Linked DNA regions of Pelodiscus sinensis. Each later gene encodes a partner of the first gene's protein in a complex. Links are inferred from orthologs where the notes say so. Each region holds a gene or a part of one and is shown in the gene's direction. Other genes may lie near its edges.

The links.
Region 2: DNAJB13 (region 1) and LRRC23 share a complex: the UniProt entries of both Homo sapiens proteins name them as parts of the axonemal radial spoke complex. The link is inferred for Pelodiscus sinensis from reciprocal best matches to the Homo sapiens genes DNAJB13 and LRRC23.
Region 3: the proteins of DNAJB13 (region 1) and NME5 are in contact, whole or in part, in a cryo-EM structure (PDB 8WZB), measured with the Mus musculus proteins. The link is inferred for Pelodiscus sinensis from reciprocal best matches to the Homo sapiens genes DNAJB13 and NME5. Residues at the interface, in NP_705755.2 of Mus musculus: Thr156, Lys157, Lys158, Thr181, Ile182, Asp183, Arg185, Trp188, Arg189, Gly191, Thr192, Arg193, Ile194, Thr195, Phe196, Glu197, Pro281; in NP_542368.2 of Mus musculus: Glu52, His53, Asn56, Met193, Lys199, Pro200, Lys201, Leu202, Cys203, His204, Phe205.
Region 4: DNAJB13 (region 1) and DYDC1 share a complex: the UniProt entries of both Homo sapiens proteins name them as parts of the axonemal radial spoke complex. The link is inferred for Pelodiscus sinensis from reciprocal best matches to the Homo sapiens genes DNAJB13 and DYDC1.

Annotation. Positions count from the first base shown.
Region 1 is NC_134711.1:322,006,835-322,014,361, forward strand, and holds the start of DNAJB13 (dnaJ homolog subfamily B member 13), read left to right. Parts: upstream 1-4,525; 5' UTR 4,526-4,540; coding exon 4,541-4,694; intron 4,695-7,527. Other genes in the region: PAAF1 (proteasomal ATPase-associated factor 1), read left to right, coding at 550-632, 2,634-2,711. UniProt on the Homo sapiens protein: Functions as part of axonemal radial spoke complexes that play an important part in the motility of sperm and cilia.
Region 2 is NC_134711.1:138,219,367-138,227,358, reverse strand, and holds the start of LRRC23 (leucine-rich repeat-containing protein 23), read left to right. Parts: upstream 1-4,984; 5' UTR 4,985-5,108; exon of another isoform or gene 5,109-5,469; 5' UTR 5,470-5,490; coding exon 5,491-5,592; intron 5,593-5,758; coding exon 5,759-5,871; intron 5,872-7,234; coding exon 7,235-7,488; intron 7,489-7,585; coding exon 7,586-7,716; intron 7,717-7,992. UniProt on the Homo sapiens protein: Essential for sperm motility and male fertility. Plays an important role in the proper assembly of the third radial spoke (RS3) head and the bridge structure between RS2 and RS3 in the sperm flagella.
Region 3 is NC_134727.1:32,340,265-32,347,615, reverse strand, and holds the start of NME5 (nucleoside diphosphate kinase homolog 5), read left to right. Parts: upstream 1-4,346; 5' UTR 4,347-4,499; intron 4,500-6,152; 5' UTR 6,153-6,190; coding exon 6,191-6,319; intron 6,320-7,351. UniProt on the Homo sapiens protein: Functions as part of axonemal radial spoke complexes that play an important part in the motility of sperm and cilia. Does not seem to have nucleoside diphosphate kinase (NDPK) activity.
Region 4 is NC_134718.1:14,158,268-14,165,427, reverse strand, and holds the start of DYDC1 (DPY30 domain-containing protein 1), read left to right. Parts: upstream 1-4,143; 5' UTR 4,144-4,282; intron 4,283-4,297; exon of another isoform or gene 4,298-4,489; intron 4,490-5,551; 5' UTR 5,552-5,653; intron 5,654-5,745; exon of another isoform or gene 5,746-5,873; intron 5,874-7,160. UniProt on the Homo sapiens protein: Functions as part of axonemal radial spoke complexes that play an important part in the motility of sperm and cilia. Plays a crucial role during acrosome biogenesis.

The DNA of each region.
Region 1 (7,527 bases):
TTTGGGGTACATCTACACTGGACCTGCAGGTGTAATTTCCAGCTTGAGCAGATATACCTGCACTAGCTTACTAGAGTAGCTGCAGTGGTGCAAATGGGTGGATGGGACTAGCCAACTTGAGTATGTACTTAGCATCTCCTTCCACTTCCTGTGGCTACATTTAGAGCTAGCATGGGCATGTCTGCTCGAGCTGGAAATTACATCTTCTAGCTCAAGAGTAGACACACCTTTAGAGAACATGTCCCCAGCAAGTAGATGACAAGTGACATAATAGGGATAGTATTAATCAGTGTTTCATTAACTTCCTAATATTTCATATTCCTCTGTCATCAGTTCCCGGTACCCTTCCAATACCACTGACTCTTCCATGAGATATCCCAACCTTCCGAGAGTCTGTTTGGCCAAACTGGCACCCCACAACTCCTATTCAAAGGCTCGAATACAAAACCATTCCTATATACGCCCACCTGCATCTGTTTGTAGTTATGGGAATGTCGGATCTTGCAAGCAGTTCTGTATTCCTTCTCTATTTTGATTTTTTCCCCCTAGGTGATGGAACCTGTTTTATTATTCAGCAAGATCTTGATCACGTAATTGACCTCACAGAAGCAGATTGTGACCCTGTATACAAGGTAATGGCTAAGTCTGCTTATCATTGACCTGAGTAACAGCAAGGGGGAAATAAAGGTGCCACCCTGCCATGGCTGCCATTGTCTGGTGATTTGGCAACCAACAGAGCTGTCACCTTTCTGAAAAGTCAATTTTTTAAATTAATTTTTGTATTTGAATAATTTAACTCTTTACAAAAACAAATCCTTTGGTCACCTGGCTAAGGAGCAGTAGCGTAATTTCGCCTCTCTCAAATGGGAAAACTGAGGCGGGGGTTAAGTAACTTGTCCATTGTCAGAGAGCTCTGATTACAACTTGGGAGCCTCTACTTCTGCATTCAGGCCTGTCTGTTTTAAAGGGCAATTCTGTTTAGAAAAGTGGTGCCATTTTTACAGAAATCCTTACTTAGCTGAGCTGCCCACTGTTCATATTCTGAATCACATCAGCTGATTTCAGAAACTGAGTTTTTGCTGCCCTTTATTTCCATAAACCCCACTGAGCTAACACAGCTGTTGGAGAGGGTGCTGGATTAGCATCCCGTTTCGTACAGCCATGGTACTGATGCTGCTGCTTAGGTCGTCTTGTAACAGGTTCCAGTTGCAATGCCATACCTTGCCATCTGTTGTAACAATACAGCACCTTGAAGGCAGTGTAGGCTAGCATACCTGAGTGCAGCATTTGGCCTGCAGACTTGTAATTGGTGGTGATGTGCGAGCAAAAGAAATCCATCTTCTCTCTTAGGGTCTGCCTACACTACAGAGGAGAACAAAGCTGCTGTTGTCAATCTTCTGGCGTTTTAATTAGTGGGTCTAGTTAAAACAGCTCATTTGAACTGAGAGGGGCGTACTGCTCGATGCTAGTAGTCCTGTTTTCAAGAGGAGTAAGGGAAGTCAAAGGGCGAGTGTTTTTTCCTTTGACTTCCTGCAGTGTAGACAGTGCCAAAAGCCGAGTTAAGGTACTTCAACTTCAGCTACGCAGTTAACATAGCTGAACTTGCATATCTTAATTCAACCTTTTCCTGTAGTAGAGACCCTCAGATCTGACAGAAAGTCTGTCCTGTAAATGGAGTGCGTTTGATCAGTCGTCTTTGAAACAATTTCAAACCCCAAGGACCTTGTGTCTAAAAGTTGTTGCTCACTGATTTATAAAGCACTTAGCTATCACACTGTAGACCCCAGGTGCTATTACACAGTCATCTTTATAATGGCAAAGCTGAAATAAAAACATGCATGCAAACCAAGAAACATGCTCAATAGTGCTGTTCAACAGGACTTACTAATGTATCCTCTTCCCTCATCCTCCAGTGAATCTTGAGGGGAAACTGCTGCATTTTCAGCTAGTTGTAGTGTTCTATGGCTAGTTTAAGAGCTAATACTTTTTCAAAGGTTGCTGATTTCTTCCTTTCCCATCTCATAAAATAAAAACATTTAAATGTTCCCATTTTTCTTCAGGCTTTTTCTCAGTTCAGAGCCCACTGCAATGTAGCATTTGGGGAAGTACATGAGCTCTTGTGAGTAGCAAACTACTCTGTCCATGGTGATACTGGTAGGATTTCTAATTAACACATGGAGATATCTTCCTTTTTGGACATCTAGGGACAATTATCGTTCCAAGAATGTTTGACATGACTTTGAAGCCATAACAGTCAAGGGAGATGTTAAAAGCCAGATATTGATACATTCACTGTATATTGCAGTAGCTCATAGCGGTTCCAGTCAAAGATCGGAGAGGCCTATTGTCCAGAAGGCTATCCAAACAATGAGGGTTGGAGGGAGTTCCCTGCCCAATATAGCTCTGTTTCCATTATGAGTTGTCAAGCAGCCCCAGCTGATCTTTCATCTTTCCAGTCGCCTGTTATTGTGATTTGTATGTCTCATGGGAGAGATTTGTTTAAAGGAGGGATTTAAGAGGATGGAAGTTTTTGGCCATATATATATAGGGTTGCACAGGAGAAACTACAAAGGCAGACGAAGATGATGTTCATGCAAGTGATTTTATTTTTAAATATTTTCATTTCCTTCTAGGTTGCTACATGGGAGAAACAGATTTATACATGCTGCAGAGATGGGGTGGTGAGGAGATACCAGCTTTCTGACCTCTGAGCATTTGAGGGTTATGGAAAACAGATAAATTCAGAACTAAGCTAAAGTCTGGCTAGGTTTGAACCTCGGCTACATAGCACTTCGAAATAAAAGTAATGCTAGCTTTCTGTGATTGTACGGTATATACGAAACGTGTGTATATATAAGCTGGGCGAACACTTATGATAAAAATCTAAGAACAAGACTGTACATGGAATTCTTGATCTGCTGCTTATTAAAACCAAAGTTCAGACAAGTCTCTTCCAGTAAGAAGCTTATAGAAGATGTTAGTGTAAGATCTTTTGTATATGCAATATATTTACACATTTAGTGAGCAATTTGGTATTTTGAAGAGAAGACTGATTTGGAGGCTGGAGAGAGAAGTCGTCTAAAAGTTACTGTACTGCAGAATTGATTGAAATAAAGGGATTGACTTTTGTTAACTTCTTGTGCATTTTCAAAGTTCGTGCATTTTCAAAATTGCTAATTTCAAAGCAAAACCACTCTGTCCATGCCATATTCAATTTTTCGTAATCTTTCTTGTGACTATCATGAATAACAAGTATGACTATTTTGTAAATGTAATGAGCAGCTACGATTTGATCTTAGATGAAATTTGAGATTTCAGTTTGATCTTCACTTAAATGAAATACATATGTTCTTAGGCAATTAAAATATATCCAATTGTAGTTAAAACCATTACAGCGAAGACCACATTAAAATTCCACCTGTTACTTTTAAATCAGTAATTGTATAGCTCATATATGGGGAAAATGTTTTTTTTTCCCTTATAGGCAGTCTGCCATTATTTGAAATCCTCTCTCAGCTATATGTACAATCCTGTGGACTCTGGTCTATCTACGCAATTTGTGTGCATGTATCTGTAAATTCCTGTGCTAGCTCATGATATCCAAGAGCAAACAGTGGGCTAAGATTCAGGAACTCCAGAAATCAAATTCAGCTGATTCACTGTGTGGCCTTGAACAAATCACTGAATATCTGTCTTGGTTTCCTCAGCTATAAAAAAGGGGTGAAATGCTACTGTCTTATGGACAATCAAAATTGTCATGAGAATTTAGCCTACATACAAAATTTTTCCTACTTTTCACTCCTTAAAATCTGTTAATAAAATCCACTAGACCCAGCTGAATTTATAATGGCTGAGATAATGTATATAAAGTACTTTGAAGACAAGTAACCATTTACTCTTAAATAACTAACATGGTGTATGCCATAGTGGATTGGCTTGTTAAACTGCAACAAGGCTCCATCCAATCTAGTTCACTATCCACTTGTAAGACTTTTGTCCTCCCTCCCTGTCATTGATAAGGTTACCATCACACCCACTGAACCACAAATGTGTGTGATGAGCTAGGCCGTGTTGGTGAATTAATGCACACTAGGGTTTGGTGCTATGCAGCTTTACTCCCTGCTGCAAGGAATGCCCTCTAAAGCAGATTTTCACTCCCTGCCCCAGTGGACCAGGCATGTGGAGGGCTCTGCTCTGCTGAAGCTGTGCAAGGGGAGAACTGATAAAAGGTGGCCCCACCCAGCAGGGTGGATGGAGGTGTGAGGGAAGGATCAGGGTTCAGCGCTGTTGTGGGACTTGGGGTGCAGTGTCCCATGGGGGGGAGGGGAGGCTCTGCAATGAGTCAGCTGGGCCACTGCCCCTAGGAGATGGGGGGGTGCTCAGTGGCTCCTTTATTCTCCCTAAGCTTGAAGCCCCTCCCCCGCACACCTCAGATTCTGGGGACAAGGGGACGGGGAGGAAGGGCCACACACGCCCTTGAGAAGCAAAGAAAAGGGGAGGGGTGTGTAGTCCGGAAGTGACGTATGCGCCCGGACGCGGGATGCGCGCGAGAACTACAACGACCACAATCCCCAGCGCGGCGGTGCCCATAGCAACGGGGACGCGGGACCGACAGCGCCGGCCGCCATGGGGCAGGATTACTACGTGGTGCTGGAGCTCAACCGCACCGCCAAGGACGCTGACATTAAAAAAGCGTAAGTGGCGGAGGGGGAGTTCGCCCCGCCCCCCACCTCACCTCTGCCAGGGGCCTGTCAGTGCCGGGGGGGGGGGGGGCACCTCTGCCAGGGGCCTGTCAGTGCCGGGGGGGGGGGGGCACCTCTGCCAGGGGCCTGTCAGTGCCGGGGGGGGGGGGGGCACCTCTGCCAGGGGCCTGTCAGTGCCGGGGGGGGGGGGCACCTCTGCCAGGGGCCTGTCAGTGCCGGGGGGGGGGGGCACCTCTGCCAGGGGCCTGTCAGTGCCGGGGGGGGGCACCTCTGCCAGGGGCCTGTCAGTGCCGGGGGGGGGGCACCTCTGCCAGGGGCCTGTCAGTGCCGGGGGGGGGCACCTCTGCCAGGGGCCTGTCAGTGCCGGGGGGGGGGCACCTCTGCCAGGGGCCTGTCAGTGCCGGGGGGGGGGCACCTCTGCCAGGGGCCTGTCAGTGCCGGGGGGGGCACCTCTGCCAGGGGCCTGTCAGTGCCGGGGGGGGGGCACCTCTGCCAGGGGCCTGTCAGTGCCGGGGGGGGGCACCTCTGCCAGGGGCCTGTCAGTGCCGGGGGGGGCACCTCTGCCAGGGGCCTGTCAGTGCCGGGGGGGGCACCTCTGCCAGGGGCCTGTCAGTGCCGGGGGGGGGCACCTCTGCCAGGGGCCTGTCAGTGCCGGGGGGGGCACCTCTGCCAGGGGCCTGTCAGTGCCGGGGGGGGGCACCTCTGCCAGGGGCCTGTCAGTGCCGGAGGGGGGGGCACCTCTGCCAGGGGCCTGTCAGTGCCGGGGGGGGGGGGCACCTCTGCCAGGGGCCTGTCAGTGCCGGGGGGGGGGGCACCTCTGCCAGGGGCCTGTCAGTGCCGGGGGGGGGGGGCACCTCTGCCAGGGGCCTGTCAGTGCCGGGGGGGGCACCTCTGCCAGGGGCCTGTCAGTGCCGGGGGGGGGCACCTCTGCCAGGGGCCTGTCAGTGCCGGGGGGGGGGCACCTCTGCCAGGGGCCTGTCAGTGCCGGGGGGGGGCACCTCTGCCAGGGGCCTGTCAGTGCCGGGGGGGGCACCTCTGCCAGGGGCCTGTCAGTGCCGGGGGGGGGCACCTCTGCCAGGGGCCTGTCAGTGCCGGGGGGGGGCACCTCTGCCAGGGGCCTGTCAGTGCCGGGGGGGGCACCTCTGCCAGGGGCCTGTCAGTGCCGGGGGGGGGCACCTCTGCCAGGGGCCTGTCAGTGCCGGGGGGGGGCACCTCTGCCAGGGGCCTGTCAGTGCCGGGGGGGGGCACCTCTGCCAGGGGCCTGTCAGTGCCGGGGGGGGGCACCTCTGCCAGGGGCCTGTCAGTGCCGGAGGGGGGGGCACCTCTGCCAGGGGCCTGTCAGTGCCGGGGGGGGGGGCACCTCTGCCAGGGGCCTGTCAGTGCCGGGGGGGGCACCTCTGCCAGGGGCCTGTCAGTGCCGGGGGGGGCACCTCTGCCAGGGGCCTGTCAGTGCCGGGGTGGGGGCACCTCTGCCAGGGGCCTGTCAGTGCCGGGGTGGGGGCACCTCTGCCAGGGGCCTGTCAGTGCCGGGGGGGGGGCACCTCTGCCAGGGGCCTGTCAGTGCCGGGGTGGGGGCACCTCTGCCAGGGGCCTGTCAGTGCCGGGGGGGGCACCTCTGCCACGGGCCTGTCAGTGCCGGGGGGGGCACCTCTGCCAGGGGCCTGTCAGTGCCGGGGGGGCACCTCTGCCACGGGCCTGTCAGTGCCGGGGGGGGGGGGCACCTCTGCCACGGGCCTGTCAGTGCCGGGGGGGGCACCTCTGCCACGGGCCTGTCAGTGCCGGGGTGGGGGCACCTCTGCCAGGGGCCTGTCAGTGCCGGGGGGGCACCTCTGCCAGGGGCCTGTCAGTGCCGGGGGGGGGGGGCACCTCTGCCACGGGCCTGTCAGTGCCGGGGGGGGCACCTCTGCCAGGGGCCTGTCAGTGCCGGGGGGGGCACCTCTGCCAGGGGCCTGTCAGTGCCGGGGGGGGCACCTCTGCCACGGGCCTGTCAGTGCCGGGGGGGGGGCACGTCTGCCAGGGGCCTGTCAGTGCCGGAGGGGGGGCACCTCTGCTACGGGCCTGTCAGTGCCGGAGGGGGGGCACCTCTGCCACGGGCCTGTCAGTGCCGGGGGGGGGCACGTCTGCCAGGGGCCTGTCAGTGCCGGGGGGGGGCACCTCTGCCACGGGCCTGTCAGTGCCGGGGGGGGGCACCTCTGCCACGGGCCGGCAGTGCCGGGGGGGGCACCTCTGCCAGGGGCCTGTCAGTGCCGGGGGGGGGGCACCTCTGCCACGGGCCTGTCAGTGCCGGGGGGGGGGGCACCTCTGCCAGGGGCCTGTCAGTGCCGGGGGGGGCACCTCTGCCACGGGCCTGTCAGTGCCGGGGGGGGGGGGCACCTCTGCCAGGGGCCTGTCAGTGCCGGGGGGGGGGCACCTCTGCCAGGGGCCTGTCAGTGCCGGGGGGGGGGGGCACCTCTGCCAGGGGCCTGTCAGTGCCGGGGGGGGGGGCACCTCTGCCAGGGGCCTGTCAGTGCCGGGGGGGGGCACCTCTGCCAGGGGCCTGTCAGTGCCGGGGGGGGGGGCACCTCTGCCACGGGCCTGTCAGTGCCGGGGGGGGGGGCACCTCTGCCAGGGGCCTGTCAGTGCCGGGGGGGGGGGCATCTCTGCCAGGGGCCTGTCAGTGCCGGGGGGGGGGGGCACCTCTGCCAGGAGCCTGTCAGTGCCGGGGGGGGGCACCTCTGCCAGGGGCCTGTCAGTGCCGGGGGGGGGCACCTCTGCCAGGGGCCTGTCAGTGCCGGGGGGGGGCACCTCTGCCAGGGGCCTGTCAGTGCCGGGGGGGGGGCACCTC
Region 2 (7,992 bases), about 180 Mb from region 1:
CTTATACTTTTCAAAATACAAAAACCCTTACTTGAATTAAAGACCTGAGCAATGCCAGGTAAATCTGTTAGTAAGTTATACAGCATAACCTGTAGTGTACGTAAGCCCTCATAAAAGGCCCATGGAATGAACTTGTCTCTGAATTTGCAAGGCACCATTATGTTAAGAGGAGTCACTAGCTGCATCTGCCGCTGCAGGGTTGGGCTGGGAGCTTTAGCAGAGCTGGAAGGAAGCCCCATCTTGGAATAGGAGTCAGTTCTGTGAGTGAAGACAGATGTGAAACTTCTGCATGCTCCTTCACCCTCTTCTGACTCCTCTTGCCGCCACCTGCGTTTCCACAAAGGGTATCTACTTATCTCTTCAAGGGTTTGACACACGTCCACGAGCTTCCCTCCACTGCTGCCCCACTGGACAAGGGGGCATTTATGCCCAGAACTCAAGAAATCCTGGTTCCATTCCTTGTCCCAGGCTCTTGCCTGGCGGGTGGGGAGTGCTACCGTGGTTTGGCCCAGCCCTGAGGCTGTCATTGTCCTGTTGTGAAGGGCATCCAGGTTCCATTCCCTGTTCTGGTCCCTTACTCCCTAAGAAACTGGATCTCCCACTAATAGGGGGTTAGGGCCCTGTGGTGCCAGGTGGGAGACACAGGTCCTGTACTCCAGCCCTCTCAGTGGGGCTGGGAATGCTGGACATCCACAGGCTGCATCTTTATATTCTCTCCCCATTTTCTAGGCTCGCCAGGCTTGACCTAACCTGGCTGCTGACTGCCTGACTTAGAGCGCCCTCAGCTGACCAATAAGTAGAAATGCAAGCACATTTCATATATTCAACACCCATCCCCCTCTGCCACAAAGCATGGAGCATCTGACTCATACCCTCTGGTGATCCAGTGTTGGCCTCCCGGCATTCAGCTCTTCAGCTTCCCCTCCAGCATGAACCAACACTGAGGCAGTACCTGAGCCCTGTTTGTGATGTCTACCTAGGAGCATTGTGCCCTTGCCTTTCCACATGGCTGCTCAGGGCCTGAACATGAATTTCGGTGTAACGCTCCAGATCAATCAAAACACACAATTCCAGAAGCAACAAGGCTCCAGGTTTCACAGGGAACAACACTGCATTAGACAGTCAGCTTCGCCCAGCTGGCCGGGCCTTCCCTTTGCACTTTGCTTGCTTGACTCCTACAAAGGAAATGGCTTTGCTTGCAGAACTCTTCGGAAATGCATCCCAGGGACACTGGGTATCTTCGACTCCCACTGTCTTTAATGGGAACTGATGGCATTTGGTAGCTTGCAGGTGTGGGCCCTTTATCTCTGCACACCACAGCTGGGCCAAGAGAGAAACTGGGGGGGTAAAGGGGGGCGAAATGCTGAAGAAGTTTTATTCCTCTAGCTGCCAAGCCAATTAACAGTCTTTCTGGAGAGAAAAATGACAACTCCAATAAAGAACTGCAGGAAAAATCTAAGTTGAAATGGAGTTATGGCTGAAAGCATAGACGAGTAATTTAGGGTAAATTATGTTTAAGAGATGGTGTAATTATCCCCAAATCAGGCATTGCAAACAAGGAAATTCAAAGGTCAGGTTAATCTTCAAGCTAAATATATTAAGAAACTATGAGATGCTATCACTAAAATACACAGGTCTGCCTTGTGATACCAAACAGCAAATATGATTAACACAAAGTAGGGTTTGTGGTCCCAAATTTAAATGATTTAGCTACAATTTCATAATGAAAGAAATCACAAGCATTATCACATGAAGGGGGGAGCTAAAATTCAGTGTGGCAAAAACCACCTTCCCTGGGAAATATGGTTGTGATGTGTGTTCAGGGTTTGGGTATTTCAAGGAAAAATCATAAACTGCAAGATCTACAGATTTTCCATGAGAAGAAAGCAGAATAATGCCCATCTCTGACAAGACTGGGGGACTGTTCCCTGGTAGGGATGAGGCAGTGGGGGCTATGTAAACAGTGAGAGAAGAGATCCTGGAATACTCAAGAGCAGTGTTTCTTAAACTGTATTCTGGGGAACACCAGTGTGCCTTGGAGAACAACAGAGTTCAAAATGGCCACCCTTAAAGAGGCAGGAGCTTTTTTTTCTCAGTTACTCCCCTTCCCCACCCCCCCACACACACCCTTTTTCTTTTCTTTTTGCTCAACAAAAAAAATCCTTGGTGTTCCTCATAAAAAAATTGGAAGATCATCTTCCTCGGTTTTAAAAAGTTTAAGAAACACTGCTCAAGAGGAGTTGTGTATTGCCATGACCTTTTGATTTCTTTGCCACTCTTAGAACAAGGTGCATCTCGGGCAGGGATCAGAGCAAGATAAGACTCTGATCTGTTGGTCTCCTGCTCCTTCTCTTTTGCTCAGCACTGCCAGACGAAGAGTTGAGCAAAAGCCCATGAAGGTTCAAGATGATAAGGGAAAAAGTACATGGAATTTGTGCCAATCATTTGCTTCTTTATGGAGAACAGAGAGTCCTGAAAGGACTTTTTTGAGTGGGTGGGACTCTGCTTATTTCTTAACTGGAGAACTATCGGGAATGGCAAATCTCATCTTCCTTACTTTTTGCCAACCAGTGCCATAGAGGCCACAGATACATGGAATGGAAGTTCTCTGCACAGGTCATGGAGTGGTGTTGGGTTTTTAACAAAAAGAGGTTTTCTTTAAACAATTTGGTAGACATTTTATATTGTTAGATGATATACAAGGAAAGACCTTTCTCCTCTTAATCCAAACTCATAAGAATTCACATTCTCCAGTCCTTCATAGAGTCTTCCAGGAAGAACCAAGTAGACAAGACCTGAATTACTATTGTGAAAGTCAGGCTGGAAAAAAATTAAACTCAAACAAAACCCAATACCCACAAAACACAAACAAAACCCCCATCAGTGAAAAAGGGGAAGTGGTGAGGAAGAAAAAGCAACCCCCCTTTTTTTGTCCAGAACCAGTTTTCCAGATTATTTTTACCAATAGAAATGTAATGCAAGAGCATGTCTAATAAGGCATTTCCAGGATTTTCTGCAGGAGTTAGAGGGGATGAGGCAAAGCATGCGATAGATTACAAAGGGTCTGGAATGCCCTATGTAGAAATCCCCTGATGACATGAGAATAATGACTGTGGGTAATTGGAGAATTAGTGAGATGAGTCCCTTCAATTCCTGGTATAGAGCCAGTCTGGCAAAGTCAGAGAGAAGTGACTCCAGGCAGGTTTGTTCCCTATGGATGCTCCAGGAGTTTGCCCAAGAGATGGAGAAGCTCCATTAAATATCATCTAATCCATTTCCCCCATAGGACACAAAGTCAGGGAGACAGCCTGGGATCAGTGAGGTTGATTTCTGAGCCAGCAAGGTAAGATGGTGGTTGAAAGAGTGTGAAAAGAGGAAAGACAAAGTTAGGGACAGTAACTAGTGTAGCAGAAGAGTAGGAAGGGGTGGCTGTTTGAGATTGGGGAAGAGGAGCAGGCTTGCATTAAGAGAGGAGGTACCAGAAAAGAGAAATTAAGGAGGGAGGGGACCATGATAATGGAGGCAAAGGAAGTGAGCTTAGGACTGGGCAAATTAAACAGGCAGAGAACTTAAATGGGGAGAGCCCTCAAGGAACCATGAGTCTGGAACAGTGGAACAAAGAAACTGTGGGGCAAAGAGAAGGGGAATGTGGCAGATCTTGTTGACCAGCAAAGTCAAGTGATCCTGTGCAAAGTGGTAGCAGGAGCAAACTGGGTATATGTTAGGGGTGACCAGAGGTTCTGATTTTACAAGGACAGTCCCAATATTTGAGTGCTTGGCTTATCTAGGCACCTCTTACCCCCCTATTCCCTGTCCCGATGTTTCACACATGGGATGTGTCTACATTGCATGCTTCTTGTGCAAGAACAGCTGTTCTTGTGCAAAAACTTGCCAGCTGTCTACATTGCACACGTGTTCTTGCGCAAGTAAATTTACAGTATAGCGGCGGAAAACAGGGCTTCTTCCGGAAAAGTTATTTCTCTCCTGAGGAGGAATAAGCCCTCTTGTGCAAAAGCTCTTCCAAAAGAGGGCAGTGTAGACAGGCAACAAACATTTCTTGCACAAGAAGCCCTGATGGCTAAAATGGCATCAGAGCTTTCTTGTGCAAGAGAACGTCCACACTGCCATGGACACTCTTGCACAAAAGCACATGGCACTGTGGATTTGCTCTTGTGGAAGATCTTTCACCCAAGAACTCTTTCGCAAAACAGTTCTTGCACAAGAAGCCTGTAGTGTAGACGTAGCCTTGCTCTCTGGTCACGGTGCAATTCTTAGGTGACATGAGCTAGGGGTTTAGAGGCACATTGAATCAGCCTGATCTCAATGGGCAGAATGGGAGAGTCACAGCTTCTGTAAGAGGAATGTTAGGCCGTGACATACAAGTGTACATTAGCAATCGTGGGACCAGCACCTCGAATGTGGGGACTAGCTACACTCTGGCGGTGGCTGGCCAGCCACTGACACCCAGCAAGGCTGAACCTGACCGTTTCTCAGTGTGGGTTCAAAACAGCGGCGCTGGCACAATCTGTACGGTGGTGGGAGCAGAGAGCCACTGAACCCAGCTGCAGAGACGGTGCAGGGTGGAAGCGCCTCACGCAGGGCTGCAGCTGCACCGCTAGTGCCAGCACGCGCGGTTCCACATGGCCCGGGCGCCAGGGCAAAGCGTAACTGACAGGCACCGACAACGTCACTGCAGGGGCCTACGGGCGCAGCCACACCCACTCCGCGCCTCTCACCCGCAGAACAGCCCATGCGCCTGCGCCGAACAGTGACCGCCTGCCGCGCTGCCTTTGCAGCGCAATGATGTCATAATAGCGCCCATTGGCCCCTCCCCTCCGCGGCGCGTTCTCAAAGGACCCCTCCTTTCATGCAAATCACGCACCGCCTGCTCCTATCAAGCGGCTGCAAACAAGCTTCCGAGTCTCTCCCCAGTCTGGCTCCTGCCAGTTTCCTAAGAACTCTGCCTACTGGGACTTGTCAGTCACCAAGTGTTGCCATGGCAGCAGAACCTAGCAACAGTTCCCACCCATTCATCTTCGGGGTTTCCATAGCAGCAGTAAACAACCCCCCCTTCAGGCTGCAGGCTCGTGGAGCAGCTCAGAGCTGGGGTCAGTCCCCCCCCCCGTGGAGATTGGGGGGCAGGTTTGGGGCCCTGGTGCCAGCCCAGGCCCAGGCGCTGGGCCCTTGCTGGCACTGGGTGGCGAATGGGACACGGGGCTTCTCCCCTAGGCACCGAGCCCCTCTGGCCCCCGCTGGCAGAGGTCTCCCAGGCCTCTGCGTGCAGCCAGGTGCTGGGTCCTCAGCCGGACAGGGCTGTGCCTCAGCGTGCAGACACTGAGCTCCGCCAAGGGGCCGTCGGCGCAGGCCGCACTGCAGCCAGAGGTACGGCGGGAGGGCAGGGATCTCCTCGCTGCTGACACACTGGGACTGTCCGGCCTCTCTGGCCAGAATTACGTTCTCTCCTAGCAGGGCTTTTTCTAGTCCGGGAAGATGTCGAATGAGGAGTTTGAGGACGACTACAATGCCAACGAACCGGAAAAGGAGGGGGAGGAGGGGGAGGAAGAGAAGGAGCCAACAGAGGAGGAGGAGGAGGTAAGGAAGGCTGACCTGGAAAGGAGCCTGAGCATGAAGGGAGGGAATGTGTAGGGGGTCATGGATGTTAGGGGTGAGCTGAGAGTCTGACCCTGCCTTATTTTCTGTGATGTTTTCTCTACTGACTGTTTGTTTCTGTCTCTTTCCTTTGCTCATCCTCTCTCAGAGCTTGACTCCCCGCCTTCTGACAGAGGAGATAATGAAGGAAGGCCTCTCCCTCTTGTGTAAAACAGGCAACGGCTTGGCTCATGCCTATGTGAAACTAGAGGCAAAGGAAAAGTGAGTGTGGAAACATTCACAGTCAAATCCTCCTCCCCAACCACTGGCAGCAGGACAGAAGCCAACACCTTTCCTGAAGCACCCTTTTTAGGAAGATGTGGGGCAGCCAGGGGAGAAATTCTGGAATAATGTTTAATGGAGGAATGGATTGCAGTACCTACTAGCGAGGGCTTATTTCTGTTTGGGCTATCATGATTAGTGGGGCATCCCACTCAATATCCTGCACAGATCATACCTTGGATTACCTCTGACTGTATTCTGGGATGATCCAAAGGGAAATGGGCTTTGGGACTGTCACTTTGTTAGTGGCCCTCCTTCCTCCCTGTGTTTGCTTCCCCCCCCCCCCCCCAATATCCACATAGGCCTCTTGCTGCTCTTCCAAGTCAAATTTGGCATCAGGAAATGACTGGCCAACTGGAGATCAGCTTGTTGGGTCATTAAAGCATTTCTGTGGCCCTGTCTGTCTGGTTGGGCTCCCAGATTGCAGCTGATAGGACATGATGGTGGAGACCTTCCCACAGTTAGCCAGCTCTGACTAGTAGAGTGAGGCTGATGCTCAGATACATTATTGAGAACACCAGTATTATATCCAGATGGGCATGGTGACTGGGTAGACAGGACAGGTGGATAGTTAGTTGGATGCTCCACGAAACGCTCTCAGCAGCTCTTTCCTGATGTGTAGTAGGGAGGCTGACAGCACCCCCCACCCCCAGAGCTATGCTCTTTGCGTTGACTCTTGGGGCTATTCAAGTGACTGTCACCACCCCAAAATCAGCAGCCAACTCAAGTGTCTCCCTTCCTCACCCACCAGTTGCTGCTAACCATGGACCCATATATGTCATGGGGAAAACACTCTTGCAAGTTTTTGGAACTCATATCCCTGTGAACTTAATCCCACGTTGGCAGACACTCAGGGGGTTTGTGGAAGTTGGCACCCAGGGCACTGCCCTGCTTGCCTGCCTCCAGGACCAGCCCTGTCACTAATTGTGTATTCCAACCTCCTGGCACTGCAGCCTGGTCCTTCCCAGTCTCTCTCTTTCCCCCACCCAGCCCTCAATGCTAGGACCACTATTTGATGGACTTATTTCTTCATAGCTTCTATGGTTTCCTCCCCTTAGTTTCTGCCCCCTCTTGACAGCTCCTTTTTCAGCTGGGAAGGGACTCCAAGTAGGGGTCCCTCGGGGCTTTGTTTCAAACCCCTTGGCTCACTCCACAGTCTGCCTTCTCCCTCCTCCATCATACCCAGAGAAACTTCTCAAGATCAGATATAGGTAAGCTGCAGAGGAGTGGAGACCAGCTCTCGGAGAAAAGAGAAAGGAGGAAGAAAATTGGATGTTTGTCTTACATCCTCATCCTATGGCAGGGATCTGACAGATATCAGCCTTCTCCAGAACTACATTCACTTACGTTATGTGGATTTGTCAGAGAACCTGCTGCGAGATCTGTCTCCTCTGGGCAGCCTCATCCACCTGCTGTGGCTGAAGGTGGATGGGAATCGGCTGACCAGTCCCTGCCTGCCAGAGCTGCCCTACCTGCAGATTGCCAGTTTTGCTCACAATCGTATCAAGGACACAGAGGGCATTACCCACCCACGTCTGGGCAGCCTCAGCCTTAAAGGTGGGTGTGTACCAGCCCTCACCACAAAGTGTTCCTTACTGTGTGCTGGAAATGGGACACTGGAGGAATTAACCCTTTTGTTTCTCCTGTCACTCAGGGAATGAAATCCAAGTGATATCAGGTCTGGATCCAGGGAAACTGACAGACCTGCACACGCTGGAGTTGCGAGGAAACAGGCTAGAGACCACAGCAGGGCTGCACCTGCCAAAGCTCAAGAATCTTTACCTGGTAAAAGCTCCTCACCAGGGCACTATGCTGCAGAGAGTGGTGTGGAGATTCTGTTGGGTTGTCCATGTGTGAGTGTGGTGGTAGGCCAGCACTGTGCAGCCTTGTTAGACTGAGAGATTTACATGCTCCGAAAGGTCAGGGGGACACAATCAATTCTTTGGGGGAGATGCTGGGACCTATTGTGTTCCCATCATGCTCAGTCAGTGCAAAGTGAGCAGAAACCTCCTGCAAGTTCCCTGCAAAGAACTGATGACCTATTAAACCTCAGCTCGTCCC
Region 3 (7,351 bases), on another chromosome or scaffold:
GGGGACTGGACTTTTTAAAGAATGCATGTGCAAATCAAGTATAGGTTCTTTTCCTTATTAAATTTCGTATCCCAAGCACCTCTTCTCTTTCCAGGCTTAGAGGGAAATGTTCTATTTTAGGAAGAATTAAAACTCAGTTGGAAGGTGATGGCCCAAAGTTGTGGCAGGCAAATGCCTGAATGAGGGCTAGACTCAGCTTTTGGTATCTGCTATTTCTTTTTGTCATTCAAATATATTTTGGGTTACAGCTGATATCCAAGCCATCATGTAAAATGCTTCCCTGTGGCCTTTGCCTTGAACACAGAAGTATCTCACTGCCAAACCCCTATTCTAGCCTTGTCTACACTGGCACATTTTGTTACCAAAAGCTGCCTTTGACAAAACAGTGAGAGCGTTTACACTGGAATGCAACTTTTGTTGGAAAAAACACCCAGTTTTGGTGACAAACTTCCACCCTTGCGAGACACTTTTCCTCTCCCTTTATTGTCATCAAATAGCCAGTGTGGACTCTATGGCTGGGTCTACACTGGCGCGATCTTGTGCAAAAGCAGCCGCTCTTGCGCAAAAACTTGCTGCCTGTCTACACTGGCCGTGTGTTCTTGTGCAAGTAAACTGACGTTCTAATGTTTAAAATCAGGGCTTCTTGTATGAGAACTCTGATGCTCCCACTCAGGAATAAGCCCTCTTGCGCAAGAGCTCTTCCAGAAGAGGCCAGTGTAGACAGGCAACATGAATTTCTTGCACAAGAAAGCCCTATGGTTAAAATGGCCATCAGAGCTTTCTTGTGCAAGAGAGAGCGTCTACACTTGCATGGATGCTCTTGCACAAAAGCACATGCCAGTGTAGATGCTCTCTTCTGGAAGAGTTTTTGCAGAAGAACTCTTCCGCAAAAGAGTTTTTGCGTGAGAACGCGCCAGTGTAGACGTAGCCTATTTGTTTTGTCCAGAGAACTAGCTTTCTCTGGTATCCCATGATACCTGCCCTGATGGCTTTGCTCAGTGTTTTGTGATCTCTACTGCCCTCCAGGCATGTGACCCACCCCTTTCAAAGCTTTGGGAAGTATCTGACAGCTGAGTCAGCTGCTCCCTTTAGGGAACTAACAAAAATTGGAATGCTCCTGTTCTGCCCTGCTAGGAACACAGCAGTAGGTGGACTGCTGCTGCGGGGGGAGGGGTGGAGAGACTGCTGTGCTGCTTTGACATTCCTCGGCAAAGAGAGCTCACAGAGCTGTGAGGGAATCCCAAGAAATGCAGGGATCAGCTCTGCCTTCCCACAACACTGCACTGTGGTATGCTTACCCACATTGCTAGCACCTTGTCCACAGATAGAGCAAAGCAAGGTGGCCATGAAATGTTGACAATGTGAGTCAACAATCAGGGGCAGATGACCGTTTTGCGGGGCCCCGGGCAGCATAATTCCGCGGGGCCCCTCCCTTTGCCACGGCGCATGTGCAGTAACGCCATGCGCAAGCGCGGTGGCGCCACGGCGCATGCGCGGGGCCCGGGGCGGCCGCCCCATTCGCCCTGCCCTATATCCGTCCCTGTCAACAATGGGGGAAAGGTAGGTTTCAGGGTGTTCTCTCACATCTATTGACAAATAAAATTTGCATTTGTAGAGGGGGATGAGAGAGGAAAGCAGGGCAGCGGGGGTCAGGGGAAAAAGGATCTGGGGGGGAGGGTAGTGGGCTCAGGTAACTGGTGGAGATCTCTGGGTGAGGAGCTACTGGGGATGGGGATTGCTAAGCATGGAAAGGAGTGGGGAGTACTGGGCAGGGCACATTAGCAGTACAGGGCTAGAGCTGGGGGTGCTGCCAAGAGAGAAGTGCTAGGGTTTGGGGTGAAAGCAGCACTATGCAGAGGTGGGGGCAAAGTGCCTAAATGTGCCCAGGCTGGGGCTTCCCACGAGTGCTAGTGTAAATGGGGGGTACCATGCCCCCAAGGGAAATGGGTGAGTGCCATGCCCACAGGCACCCCAAAACACAAGTTCACCCAGGGCACCATTTTCCCTAAGGCCTGCCCTGCTGATTGTACCCATCCTATTGTACACAAACAATTGTTACAATTTCCCTTCTCTACTCTGTTGTGTGCCACATGACTACCATCCTCTTTCCAAATAAGGATGCACTACAGGGCTACTGGAAATACTTATGAATTAGCAAGTGCTCTGCATGCTGAATTCTCATTGATTTTAGCCAGTCTGCATTCAACTGAAGTTCTAGGACCAGCGTTAGGGTTAGTAAAGTAAAGTATTTGGGGATCCCTCCAGCTCAGAGGTGCTATACAGGCACTCCCCGAGTTACGCGGATCCGACTTACGTCGGATCCGCAGTTACGAACGGGGTTCCTCTCCCTGGTCTCCAGCAGACCAGGGAGAGGAAGCAAAGCGGCGGAACACGTGGGCAGCGGACAGGGCTGTCCGCTGCCCACGCGCTCCGAGGCTTGGCTCTGCTTTGCCCCCCCCCTCCCTCTGGTCTGCAGACCAGAGGGAGGAGGGGGGGCAAAGCAGAGCCAAGCAGAGCCAAGCCGCGGAGCGCGCGATCAGCTGACAGCCCAGACGCGTCTGGGCTGTCAGCTGGCCGGGCGCTCCGGGGCTTGGCTCTGCTTTGCCCCCCCCCGTCCCCCTGGTCTGCAGACCAGGGGGAGGGGGGGGAGGCAAAGCAGAGCAAAGCAGAGCCAAGCCGCGGAGCGCGCGATCAGCTGACAGCCCAGACACGTCTGGGCTGGCAGCTGGCCGGGCGCTCCGCGGCTTGGCTCTGCTTTGCCCCCCCCCGTCCCCCTGGTCTGCAGACCAGGGGGACGGGGGGGGGGGCAAAGCAGAGCCAAGCCGCGGAGCGCACGATCGGCTGACAGCCCAGACGCGTCTGGGCTGGCAGCTGGCAGCGCGCTCCGCGGCTTGGCTCTGCTTTGCCCCCCCCCCTTCCCCCTGGTCTGCAGACCAGGAGGGGGGGGGGGAGCAAAGCAGAGCAAAGCCGCGGAGCACGCGGGCAGCGGACAGCCACTGCGCGTCTGGGCTGTCCCGCTGCCCCCGTGCTCCGTGGCTTTGCTTCAGACACCTGTGGTACAGCAGCTGGGGCGCTGCCAGTTGGTCCCGTAGCGCCGCTCTGGGCGCTACTGGACCAACCGGGCAGCACCCCAGCTGTTCTGCCCCAGGCTCCTGATTCAGCCACTGCTGGTCAGATTCAGCAGCGGCTGAATCAGGACGCCTGGGGCAGAGCAGCTGGGGTGCTGCTGGGTTGGTCCAGTAGCGCCGAGGAGCGGTGGCGCTACTGGACCAACCCAGCAGCACCCCAGCTGCTCTGCCCCAGGCATCCCCAAGTCAGCCGCAGCTGAAACTGACCAGTGGCTGACTACAGGAAGCCACTGACCAGTGGCTGACTACAGGAAGCCCCTGCCCCGGGCTTCCTGGAATCAGCCGCTGATCAGTTTCAGCAGCAGCTGACTTGGGGATGCCTGGGGTTCTTAAGTTGAATCTGTATGTAAGTCAGAACTGGCGTCCAGATTCAGCCGCTGTTGAAACTGATCAGTTTCAGCAGTGGCTGAATCTGGACGCCAGTTCCGACTTACATACAGATTCAGCTTAAGAACAAACCTACAGTCCCTATCTTGTACGTAACCCGTAACCCGGGGACTGCCTGTATACATAATTCATTGTGCGTATGACTCCTGTGAAGACCTCAAGTATGCCAGATGTCAAATCAATGAGACGTGCAACTTATATCTGTTACAGACGCACACCACAACCCTTCCACACCAGACAGAAAGATCTAAACTGCCTCTGACCCACACAACTCAATCTCCAGATTCCCCTTCTAACTGAGCCCTGGGCCTGGCCAGTAGGGTTGCCAGGTGTCCAGTTTTGAACTGGACAGTCCAGTATTTGAGCTTTCTGTTTGGGAAATAAATTGAGAAAATATAACTGAGAAAACAGAAATGTCCAGTATTTTCTAAATAAGATGTAATGTCGATTGTGATGTAATGTCAAGCGTGTCCGGTATTTTTTGTTGAAACCATCTGGCAACCCTACTGGCCAGCTTGCTGGTCAGTGCTTGGCACCTGGCACGGCTTAATTTGGAACGAAAGAGGTGCCAGGGTTCAATCACATTGTTACATTCATAACTGATGCAGCCAGCTCAGAGGCAGCTGGGACGGGGCAGGCTGGTGCAGCCCTGTCCTAAATGAAGCATTCCAGGGTGCAGCACGTCGGGCTTTGCCCCAAATCTGGATTCTGCACGTGACCAACGGAGCGACTCAGGCTGGGAGCGCGCCCCCAGAACAAGGAGCGGGCAGGGCAGTGCAGAAGGGGAGCGGGGGGAGGGACTAGGGGCTCGCGCTCCACCAGCGCTGATGCCCCCAAGAGCAGCGCGCGCCGTGTTCCACGGCTCTGAGTAACGAAACGCGCGCCTGACACGGACCGTGCCCCACGCCGTAGGGGGCGGCTCCTTCGCCTGCTGCCTCGGGTCTCCTAGCAACCGTCGCTGGGGCCGGAGCCGCTGGGCGGAAGGTGCGTGGGGCCGAGGGGGATGGCGGCGGGGTAATGGCTGGCTCTTCCTGGGGCTCCCTGTGGACGCGGCCCGCGCGGGGGGCTCACCCAGCGGGGGGCGGCGCTGCTCGAGCCACTTGGGGGGGGGGGTCAGCGCCACCGCGGGGTGGGCCCGGCTCACCTGGCTCCTGCGTTCCCTTTGCACTTTTCTGCCCGTGTGCAGAATAATTGTATGTGCCCCGAGGCATGGGCGAATGTGCACCACCCACAGACGCTGGGGATGGAAAATCCCGGTCGAGCAGTTAACTGGTTAAATGTTGGGTTAACCTAACGGTTAACCAGTGAGCCGACTAACCGGGATCTGGGTGCAGCGCCCAGCCCGCGGGGCTCCTGCCCCCAGCCCCCATACAACAGGCCAGGCTCCCCGCAGACAAGAGGCTGCACCAGACCCTGCCTGCAGGGTGCCCAGACCCGCCCTGGACCGGAGCAGAGCAGCCCCTCTCTGCGGTGGGCCCTTGTGGGGCTGGAGAAACCTCCTGCCCACAGCAGATTGGGAGCTGCTCCATCCCCCACTGGTTAACTAGATAACCAGTTAACTTTTCGCATCTCTAATGTGCACCACCCATAGAAACTAGGGATATAAAATCCCGTTTAATCAGTTAATTGCTTAAATGGGATCTCACGGGCAGAGGATGCTCCAGCGTGGCCAGGCCCACTGTGCTGCGGTGCAGGCAGACGGAGCTGGTGCGCCAGCACAGCTAGGCCACTGGGTAACCGGTAACTAGTAAGCATCACCTGGTAAGTGTGATGCTTACCAGTTAACCCCTGACATCCCTAAGAAAAACACAAACCTAGCTGTGGGCGCTCTTCTAATCATCTGGGCAGCATCGGAATCTCTCTTAAGTAGCCGCACCACACACAGCTTATAGGGAACACTGCCAGCTCCCCAGCTAAGCCTACCCTGTTGTCAGGCCAGATGAGTGGGAGGAAGCTTGGATGTTCCTATGCTGGTAGGTTCCCATGCTGATGGAGGTCCAATCCTACGTGTTTTGCATAGACACTGTTCCAAAGGGAGCACTAAAACTGCAGGAGTGGGCCCTTAATTTGCTTCTTCTCCAGTGATAGCCAAGTGTTAAAGAATGGAATGGTTTGAAATAAGAACCAGCTATTTTCTGCACAGATACCACAGTAGTATCTCACATAAATGAAATATTCTCCTGTTAAGATTCATTTCTAGGGAGTAAGCCTCTCATTTGTCTCGGGTGCTATGTCTACAGTGGCAAGATTTTGCGCAGCGCAAAATCTTGCCACCTGTCTACACTGGCCGCAAGTACTTGCGCAAGAACACTGACATTCTAATGTATAAAATCAGTGCTTCTTGCGCAAATACTCTGACACTCCTGCTCAGGGATAAGCCCTTTTGCACAACTGTTCTTGCGCAAGAGGCCAGTGTAGACAGGCAACATCAATTTCTTGTGCAAGAAAGCCCAATGTTTAAAATGGCCGTCGGAGCTTTCTTGCGCAAGAGAGCATCTACACTGGCACGGATGCTCTTGCGCAAAAGCACATCTTTTGCGCAAAGGCACATGCCAGTGTAGACGCTCTCTTACTCAAATACTCTAACGCAAAAACTCTTGCGTTAAAGAGTATTTGCGCAAAATCTTGTCTTTGCAGTAAGGGAGAAGCACTTGAATTTTAATCGTGACACAAAGATGCAAGCGCTAATGCCTGAGCCTCAGATTTATGTAGAAAGAACTCTGGCCCTCATCAAACCAGATGTAATTGACAAAGAAGAAGAAATAGAAGATATAATTCTCAGATCAGGATTCACCATTGTTCAGGTAATATGCTGTACATAAAATAAGGTTCTGAACACTGAGTAATCCTGTGGCATCTTAAAAACATTTATTAGGGCATAAGCTTTCATGAGCTGTAGCTCAGTTTGTCAGATGCATGAAATGGAAGCTTCACTTTTCATCATTCTGAACACTGATTTGAAGTTTGTTTATGGTCTGATAAGCAAGATGCAAACACCACCAATTTGGTTTACTTAATGTACTCTTTTCTACACACAAATGCACATCATACATCATTTGAAAGCTTATGTCTAAAATGAGGAATGATGTGGAACTGTCAAGTGTGCCTATGTAACCCACACACCTACTGGGCACGGCATACTCTCCCATGTAGTGGCACTTAGGGACTTGTGAATTTCTTCTACAGTGTTAGCAGAGAGCCAGCTGGCTTTTAGCTCAAGCGGTAGAGCAGAGGTGGGGAGCCTTTTTAGGGTCAGGGGCTGCTGATCCACAGAAAAATCAGGCAGGAGGCAGCGGTGGTTGGAGTGCCAGTGCGGGCTCCCCAATTCTGTGGGGGAGGAGCCCTGAGCCCCGGGGGCCATATCCAGGCAAGTCAGGGACCGCATCTGGCCCCTGGGCCATGGGTCTCCACTCCTGCTGTAGAGCTCCAGAGGTCCCAGGTTTGGTTCTGCCTGTGGCCATTACACCATTACTATAGAATGGGGATAAATAATGACACATTATCCATGAGTTAAAATGACCACTCAAAAATATTTGCATTTGTTTCTTTTAGTCTAATGACTCTTTTTATTATTTCAAGACCTAAAATTGGATTTCTTGGTGACCTCAAAGCATCATAGCAGTCTAAAGCAGGGGTCGGCCATAAATAACCCAGGAGACAAAGGTGGTTCGCTAGAGTTAACCCCTGGCTGGCCACCATTGCTTTATTTACCTTCACGTCCACAGGTGTTGCTGCTTGCAACTCCCATTGGCTGTGGATTGCTATTCCTGGCCAATGGGAGCTGCAGGAAGTGGTGTGAGCTAGGACACAGCTTCCTGGAACTCCCATTGACCGAG
Region 4 (7,160 bases), on another chromosome or scaffold:
TGGCGGCGCCCGGCAATATGCAAATGAAGCCCGGGAAATTCAAATCCCGGGCTTCATTTGCAACTCTGGTTGCCTACATTACAACCCTAGTTCGAACTAGGGTGGTAGTGTAGACATACCCTTAGCTGGGAATAATCCCTCTGGCTGGGTTTTAAATTATACTGGTTTTGTTCTTCAAGCATGTGTTTCTGCTTTTCTTCATCCAGGGACTAAAAAACATTTATTTGTCTGAGGCTACATCTACACTGGCATGATCTTGCGCAAGAACCCTTTTGCGGAAGAGTTCTTGTGCAAAAACTCTTCTAGAAGAGAGCGTCTACACTGGCATGTGCCTTTGCGCAAGAGATGTGCTTTTGCGCAAGAGCGTCCATGCCAGTGTAGACGCTCTCTTGCACAAGAAAGCTCTGATGGCCATTTTAAACATAGGGCTTTCTTGCACAAGAAATTCATATTGCCTGTCTACACTGGCCTCTTGCACAAGAACAGTTGTGCAAGAGGGCTTATTCCTGAGCGGGAGCATCAGAGTTCTTGTGCAAGAAGCACTGATTTCATACATTAGAACGTCAGTGTACTTGCGCAAGAACTCGCAGCCAGTGTAGATAGGCAGCAAGTTTTTGCACAAAAGCGGCCGCTTTTGCACGAAATCACGCCAATGTAGACACAGCATAAGAGTACTGTTCTACCTGGTAGCATTGGTTTGGGGAATACAAGCTTGAAGACCAAACCTTCTTTCAAAGGTTTCCTTGAACAGAGTACTTGTGTGAAGAAGGCTGCAGATTTTTGACACTTTTGCCTGGGCACCATATAACTTCGCCTCCTTGAGACCATGGTCAGTGAGTTGCAGAGTATAAGCAAAGCAACTGTGTCTCTTAATTCGAGGTCCACTTGAGTTTACATGATGGATGACCGATGTAACGACTTCTGGGTTTAAGTCTTCACATAATTCTTCATTTTCCAAAGTGTCATCTTGCATATCAATTTGCTGCTCTGATTCATGGTTGTTAAATGCTATGATGAATGCTTTACGCATGTCCGCAGCATTGTCTGTTATAACATATCTAATTTTATCCTTTATTTTATAAGAATCACATATGTTCTCAAACACTTCTGCAATGTTCTCACCAGTATGCTGGCCAAGGAACCTTTCACATGACAACAATTTGTCACGAGCGCGTACCTTATTATCATGTGGGCTGTTACTCCCCAAAAGCCTCTCATTCTTCTATCTGACCAGATGTCGAGCGTCAGTGCAATTGTGTCCACCTCAGTAAGAAGTGCCAACACATCAGCTTTCACATTATGGTACAAATTGTCCAGTTATGTCATAACCAAAGACCGACTTATTTCTTGTGACTGGGGATCCAACACATGACAAAATCGCCTGAACTGTGGTTTTTCTGCTATTGAAAGTGGTAGTAAGCAACCAATTATCAGTTCTATAACCAAAGAACTGACTATTCTTCTTTGTTTAGGATGATTTATTCCATAAACACCTTGATTATCATGCTTTATAAATGAAATCCGATATTTTACACGGTGAGGCGGGATCAATTGTGGTTTGTCGCAGATATTTTTCGTACTCACTGTGCTTTCGCGGATGGGTTTTTATAAGGCGCAAAAAATTGGAAGTTGTTGCAATGCCATCAGTGATTACAACCCCACATAATTTGCACTTCGCTGATCGTGTTTTCTCTGGATTTATTGATTTGACCGAAAAAAACAAAGTTTAGGACATTTTGATTTTTCTTCCTCATTCTTCACAGACGGATATTAACTTTTTGATTATTTTAATTTTGTTTGTTCACTATGAAATTTCAAAAATGGCATATTAATGTAAAATTTCATAAACAAACACACAATCAATAAAATTTTCACAAATCCCAAGCCAATAAACTATTTTCGCATTGTTGTTGTCGTAGCTCTACGTTAAAGCCAGAAATTGCGCCTAGATGCGTTCAAAACAATGAAAAAAAATGAAACACATTCACCATGTATTGCATCGTTTTGAAAGAAAAGTAACCCACAACAATGTAGCATACTGTTGACAAGTAAATGGGATATTTTTATCAATTCATTTTTTACAACTCTGAAATCTCGCATCTTCATGAATATAATAATTGTTTACGTCATTGAAATACTTATGGTTGCCAGGTGTCCGGTATTTTCTGATTTTTCCGGCTGCGCACCGGACAGAAGCCTGCGTGGGCGGGAGGAGCAGCTGGAAGGCGGGGCCATGATCGGCGCTAGGAGCCTGTGACTGCGCAGAAGCCTGGTGGGGGTGGGAAGAGTGGCTGGGACTCTTAGCTACTTCCCCCACCCCCACCAGGCTTCTGATGCGCCAAGAGCAGCGATCGCGGCCCCGCCTCCCAGCCTGGGAATCCCAGCTGGGAGGTGAGGATGCGTTGGACGCTCTGGGCGCATCAGAACAGCGGCATTTTCGGACATTTTTTTCACCAAGTCGCTTCAACAAAATTAGCAAGTTAAGTCACAAACCATGAACCTTAGTCGAGTCTCAAGTCAAGTCATCTAGGTGACTTAAGTCGGACTCGAGTTCAAGTCGTGAGACTCGAGTCGACAACTCTGGAACACTTCAATCTTCCTGGACACACAATTGCAGATCTAAAAGTAGCCATCCTGCAGCAAAAAAACTTCAGGACCAGACTTCAAAGAGAAACTGCTGAGCTACAAGTCGACACTTGCCAACAAGGACTTAACAAGAATTTGAACTATCTCACCCATTACCAAGACAGTTTCCCCAATTATCACCTGTAATACCATTAACTCACAAACATCCCACTCTCCCTACCTTTAATATCATCAATTCACAGACACTTACCTTCCTTCCTCCCCCTCCCCCCCCCTCCGCATCCCCCTTCTGTTCTGCAATGTGATTTGTCCTTTTCATATTTGTTCATTTTTTTAATTGCATCCTTTGGTATATATGGTTGTGACTACTTTCTTCCACTATTTGATCTGAGGAAGTGGGTCTGGCCCACGAAAGCTCATCATCTAATAAACCATCTTGTTAGTCTTTAAAGTGCTACATTGTCCTGCATTTTGCTTCAACTACCCCAGACTAACAGGGCTACATTTCTATCAGTATTCTGCTGAGCTACAGTTCATCTTTAAGTTTGACACAATCAGCTCTGGATTAAACAAAGACTGTGAATGGCTCGCTAACTACAAAAGCAGCTTCTGCTCTCTTGGAATTCACACCTCCAGATCAGCTGCTAGAAGTGGGCCTCATCCTCCTTGATTGGATCCACCTCGTCATCTCCAGCCTGATCCTGGCCTGCATATTTATTCCTGCCTCTGGAAATTTCCACTTCATGCATCTGACGAAGTGGGTCTTTGCCCACGCTTATGCTCCTACACTTCAGTTAGTCTATAAGGTGCCACAGGACTCCTCGTCGCTTTTGCAGATTCAGACTAACACGGCTACCCCTCTGATACTTGACAACTCTGGTGTCTACCTCAACTGCGTAGCTTATTTCCAAATAGCTTATTTCAAAATAGGGAGCATCTACACAGCACTTATTTAAAAAATAGAGCACTCTTCCTCCGAGTTCCCTTATTCCTCCTCCAACGAGGGTCAGCGTAGTCCTCCAGCTTGACAGTATTTTGACACTATTTTGAAATACCTGCCTGCTACGTAGACACGGACTCAGTTATTAGGAAATAGTGTTGCCGTGTAGACGTACCCTCAGTCTGGCATTCTGGCGCTCCAACAAGGAATGCAAGATTCTGTTTAACCTGTTAACCCGTTACCTGCGTGTGCCAGTTAACCAGTTACCGGCGTGCGCGGGGCGCTGGTTAACCAGTTACCTGCACCCAGTAAGGGTGGTGCTTACCAGGTAACTGGTTACCCGTTTACATCCCTGCCCCAGCTGTCCAGTTGCTGGGTTCTTGGGCCCGCGCCATCAACAGATCGAGGCATTCGCCCTCCACGCGGGGGGCGCTGGCCCGACGCTCACGTTACGCGGGTGGAAGCGGCAGCGGTTTGTCTCGTGTGACGATCGCTCGCCCCCTGGCGCACGGGTCAGGCCTATGTCCCCGGGCTGGCAGGGCGGGGCTGCGCTTCGAGACCCCAGGCGCGAGCTGCCCTCAGGCAGCCCGGGGGGTTAACGCTGCCACCTTACTCACGTGACAGCCCCCAGCGCCAGCTCCGCCACCAACCCTCCCGCCCGGGCCACGCGGACGGCTGCCTAGCGACGGGACGCTCCCGGGCTCGCGCCTAGAGGAGGGCGTGCTGGTTGAGGCTGCGCGAAGCGTCGGAGCAAAGGTCGGCGCGTCCCCCCCCCGCCCTCCGACGGTTGAGCCCCCCCCCCGTGGGCGCGCGCCGCGGACCGTTGGGCGTCGTGGCGGTTCGCGGGCCTGAGCTGCGCTGCTGCTCGGCCACCCCGTAGGGCTCCCAGGCGGCAGCGGGGAAGCGCCGGGGCTCGGGCCGCGTCTCTCCCGGCTGGGCTTCGCCCCAGGGAGCCTCCGCTCGGTGTGGTGAAGGGCGGCTCTGCCCTCTCGGCGAGGCCCACCGGGAGCCGTGCCGGCCGTAGTCCCTGACCGCGTCTCCCAGCGGCCGCCCCTCACCCCCACGGGGGTCTTCGTGTCCGCAGCAAAGCTTAGGCACCCGGGGCCCAGCTGCCGCAGACGGGGCTGGCCGCGCCCCCACAGGCTGGGAGCCAGCCCCAGTGCGGGGCTGGGGGCTGCTCCAGCCCGGATTTCGCGCCAGGCGTTTAACCGGGCGAGCCCGGAGGTTTAACGTTTAACCGGCTGGCGGGCGGGCTGGGATTTCGCATCCGAGTGTGCATCCCTTTGGCAATCTTAGCCATGTCTGCAGCAGCTGGAGAGGGATGCTCCCTGCGGTGGGGGCAGAGAGGCCTGGGCTCCAGGAGGGGAGGAGGAATAAGCTGGGCCAAATGGTCAGAGCCGTCTCTGGAGCCTGCAACTATTTCCAGTCGTCTGTGGGGGCCTATTCGAAACCCCAGGATGTTCAAGCTGGATAGCACCAGCTCTGTTGGCTGCTTGTCAAGAGTCTGACTTGTCACTTGGGAGTGCTGCTACATACATTGCAAATCAGAATACACACTCAGCCAATGCTCTCTTTAATGTTTTCCATCCATGTGCAGAATAAATTTTATGTGCACAAAGGCATGTGCAGATATGCAGGAACAGCAGAAAAAAACATGCTGCCAGCTATAGGTAGTCTGCCAATCAGATGGGTGGCATTTGAATCTTTGCTGAGCGGCGGGGGTGGGAGGGTGGCGGCATCTGAACACTTAGCTTACAGCAGAGGTGGGGAACCTTTTTGGCTCAGGGGTTGCTGACCCACAGAAAAATCAGTCGGGGTCTGTACACAAGTGAGAAGCAGTATAGTAAGAAGTAGTATAAAAGGTTCTGATCATGCAAATGCTTGCACAGAATACATAAACAAAAAGTACATTCTGAGTCAAGATATTTTTAGTCTCATGTATGGTAGGGGTGAGACATATGCCCATATATATAGCCCTTTATGACATTTATAGATATCTCATTCCTAACTGTTCTTTTGTTGTAGAAATGGTTTAAACAAGAAAATCAAGCATCCCAAAATCAAAAGTGAAAAAACCATGCAAAGAATGTAAATATATTTGAAGAGTTGGCTGAGGAATCCTTTGAGGTGAGTGGAAAGTATAGAACCTTCAGGAGGTAAGTGGGTTCAGATGTGCATTTTGTGGAGGTGCATTGTGACAAAACACTGGTATATTGCCAGTGTGCCAGAAAGTATGGTCTGAATTTAAGAGACCATAGCAAAGGGGTATCTGTAAGAGATCAAAAGGAAGGAAAAGCTTATGATTTTTCTGATCCCACTTGTGTCAGGAACCTAGTTCTTGCTTCATGTGCGTTACTTGCCTTTAGATAAGATCTGTTTTTTTAAAATTGATCACACACAGAAATGATTTAAATTCTATGTAGCTTCTAGATTCCTTTTGAATGAGCATTTAATTCAGTGAAGTTGTGTGTAATTAAAGACAGGAAATAGCTAATTGAGACTGTTCATTAGAACTAATAGAATAGAGCACTATAAGGAACACTGTAGTGATCATGTACTATTGTAACTAGAGATAAGTGAATATTTACTGAAGTTAAACTGTGTTAAGCAACTGTAGCTTGAACATCCCTGGTTCAGCACCTTCAGGACCTGACTGGTGCCGGACCAGGAGATGTCAATTGCAGACCCTCTGCTGCCACAGTCTGTTGGGTTCTTTTATGATGGCAGCAGAGGGGCCAGCATGGAGGGAGTGGGAATGGGGAGTGCTTGGTAGAAGAGTCAGGGAGAGTGTGGTGCCTGTGGCCAGCATCGGATTCCTGCAGCTGCTGGTCTGCGCTCCTGGCCCCTGTGTGCCTGCACCTCTGGCCATGGGGCACCACACCCATCCTGTACCTTTCCCTGAGTGCCCCCCATCTCCACACCTTCCTTTTCATCTCTGAGCTTAAACACTGCAAGTGGGCTATTTGTGGCACTCTGCAAGCTCTGAGAGGAAGGGAGAGGAGTTGCTGAGTGCAGGGCCTCCGGCTGTTCCCCGTGAGTGCTCCGATCCCGGACCACTCATGGATGCTGGATTACAGATGTTGCTGGATGAGGGAAATCCGGTTTATAGAGGCTTAACCTATTCTGCTTCATGGAAATTATATTGTGAAATAAATGGAGCAGAATTATATTCTATGTTTTGGTTATGTATTAAGGGATGTCAGTGGTTAACTGGTGGCAGCTGGAGCAGCCCTCAGGAATCTGCTCCAACTCAGCCGGAGCAGGCTCTGACCGCAGCGAGGAAACCGCTTCCCCCGCCCACCCCATTTAATTGGTTTACCGGCTAAACTTAATATTTAACTAATTAAACAAGATTTTGCATCCCTATTGCATACACAAAATATTTTACAGGCAGTCCCCGACTTACGCGGATCCGACTTATGTCGGATCCGCACTTACGAACGGGGCTTTCTCGCCCCGGAGGTCGAGGTGGCGGATTGCTACCTGTGAGCTCCGGGGCGAGAAAGCCCCGTTCGTAAGCTGCTCCGGTGCCCCTGGTCTGCTGGAGACCGTCTCCAGCAGACCAGGGGCACCGGGCGGGTTCCCGCGCTTCTGAGGCTTTGTCAGAGCAAAGCCTCAGAAGCGCGGGAACCCG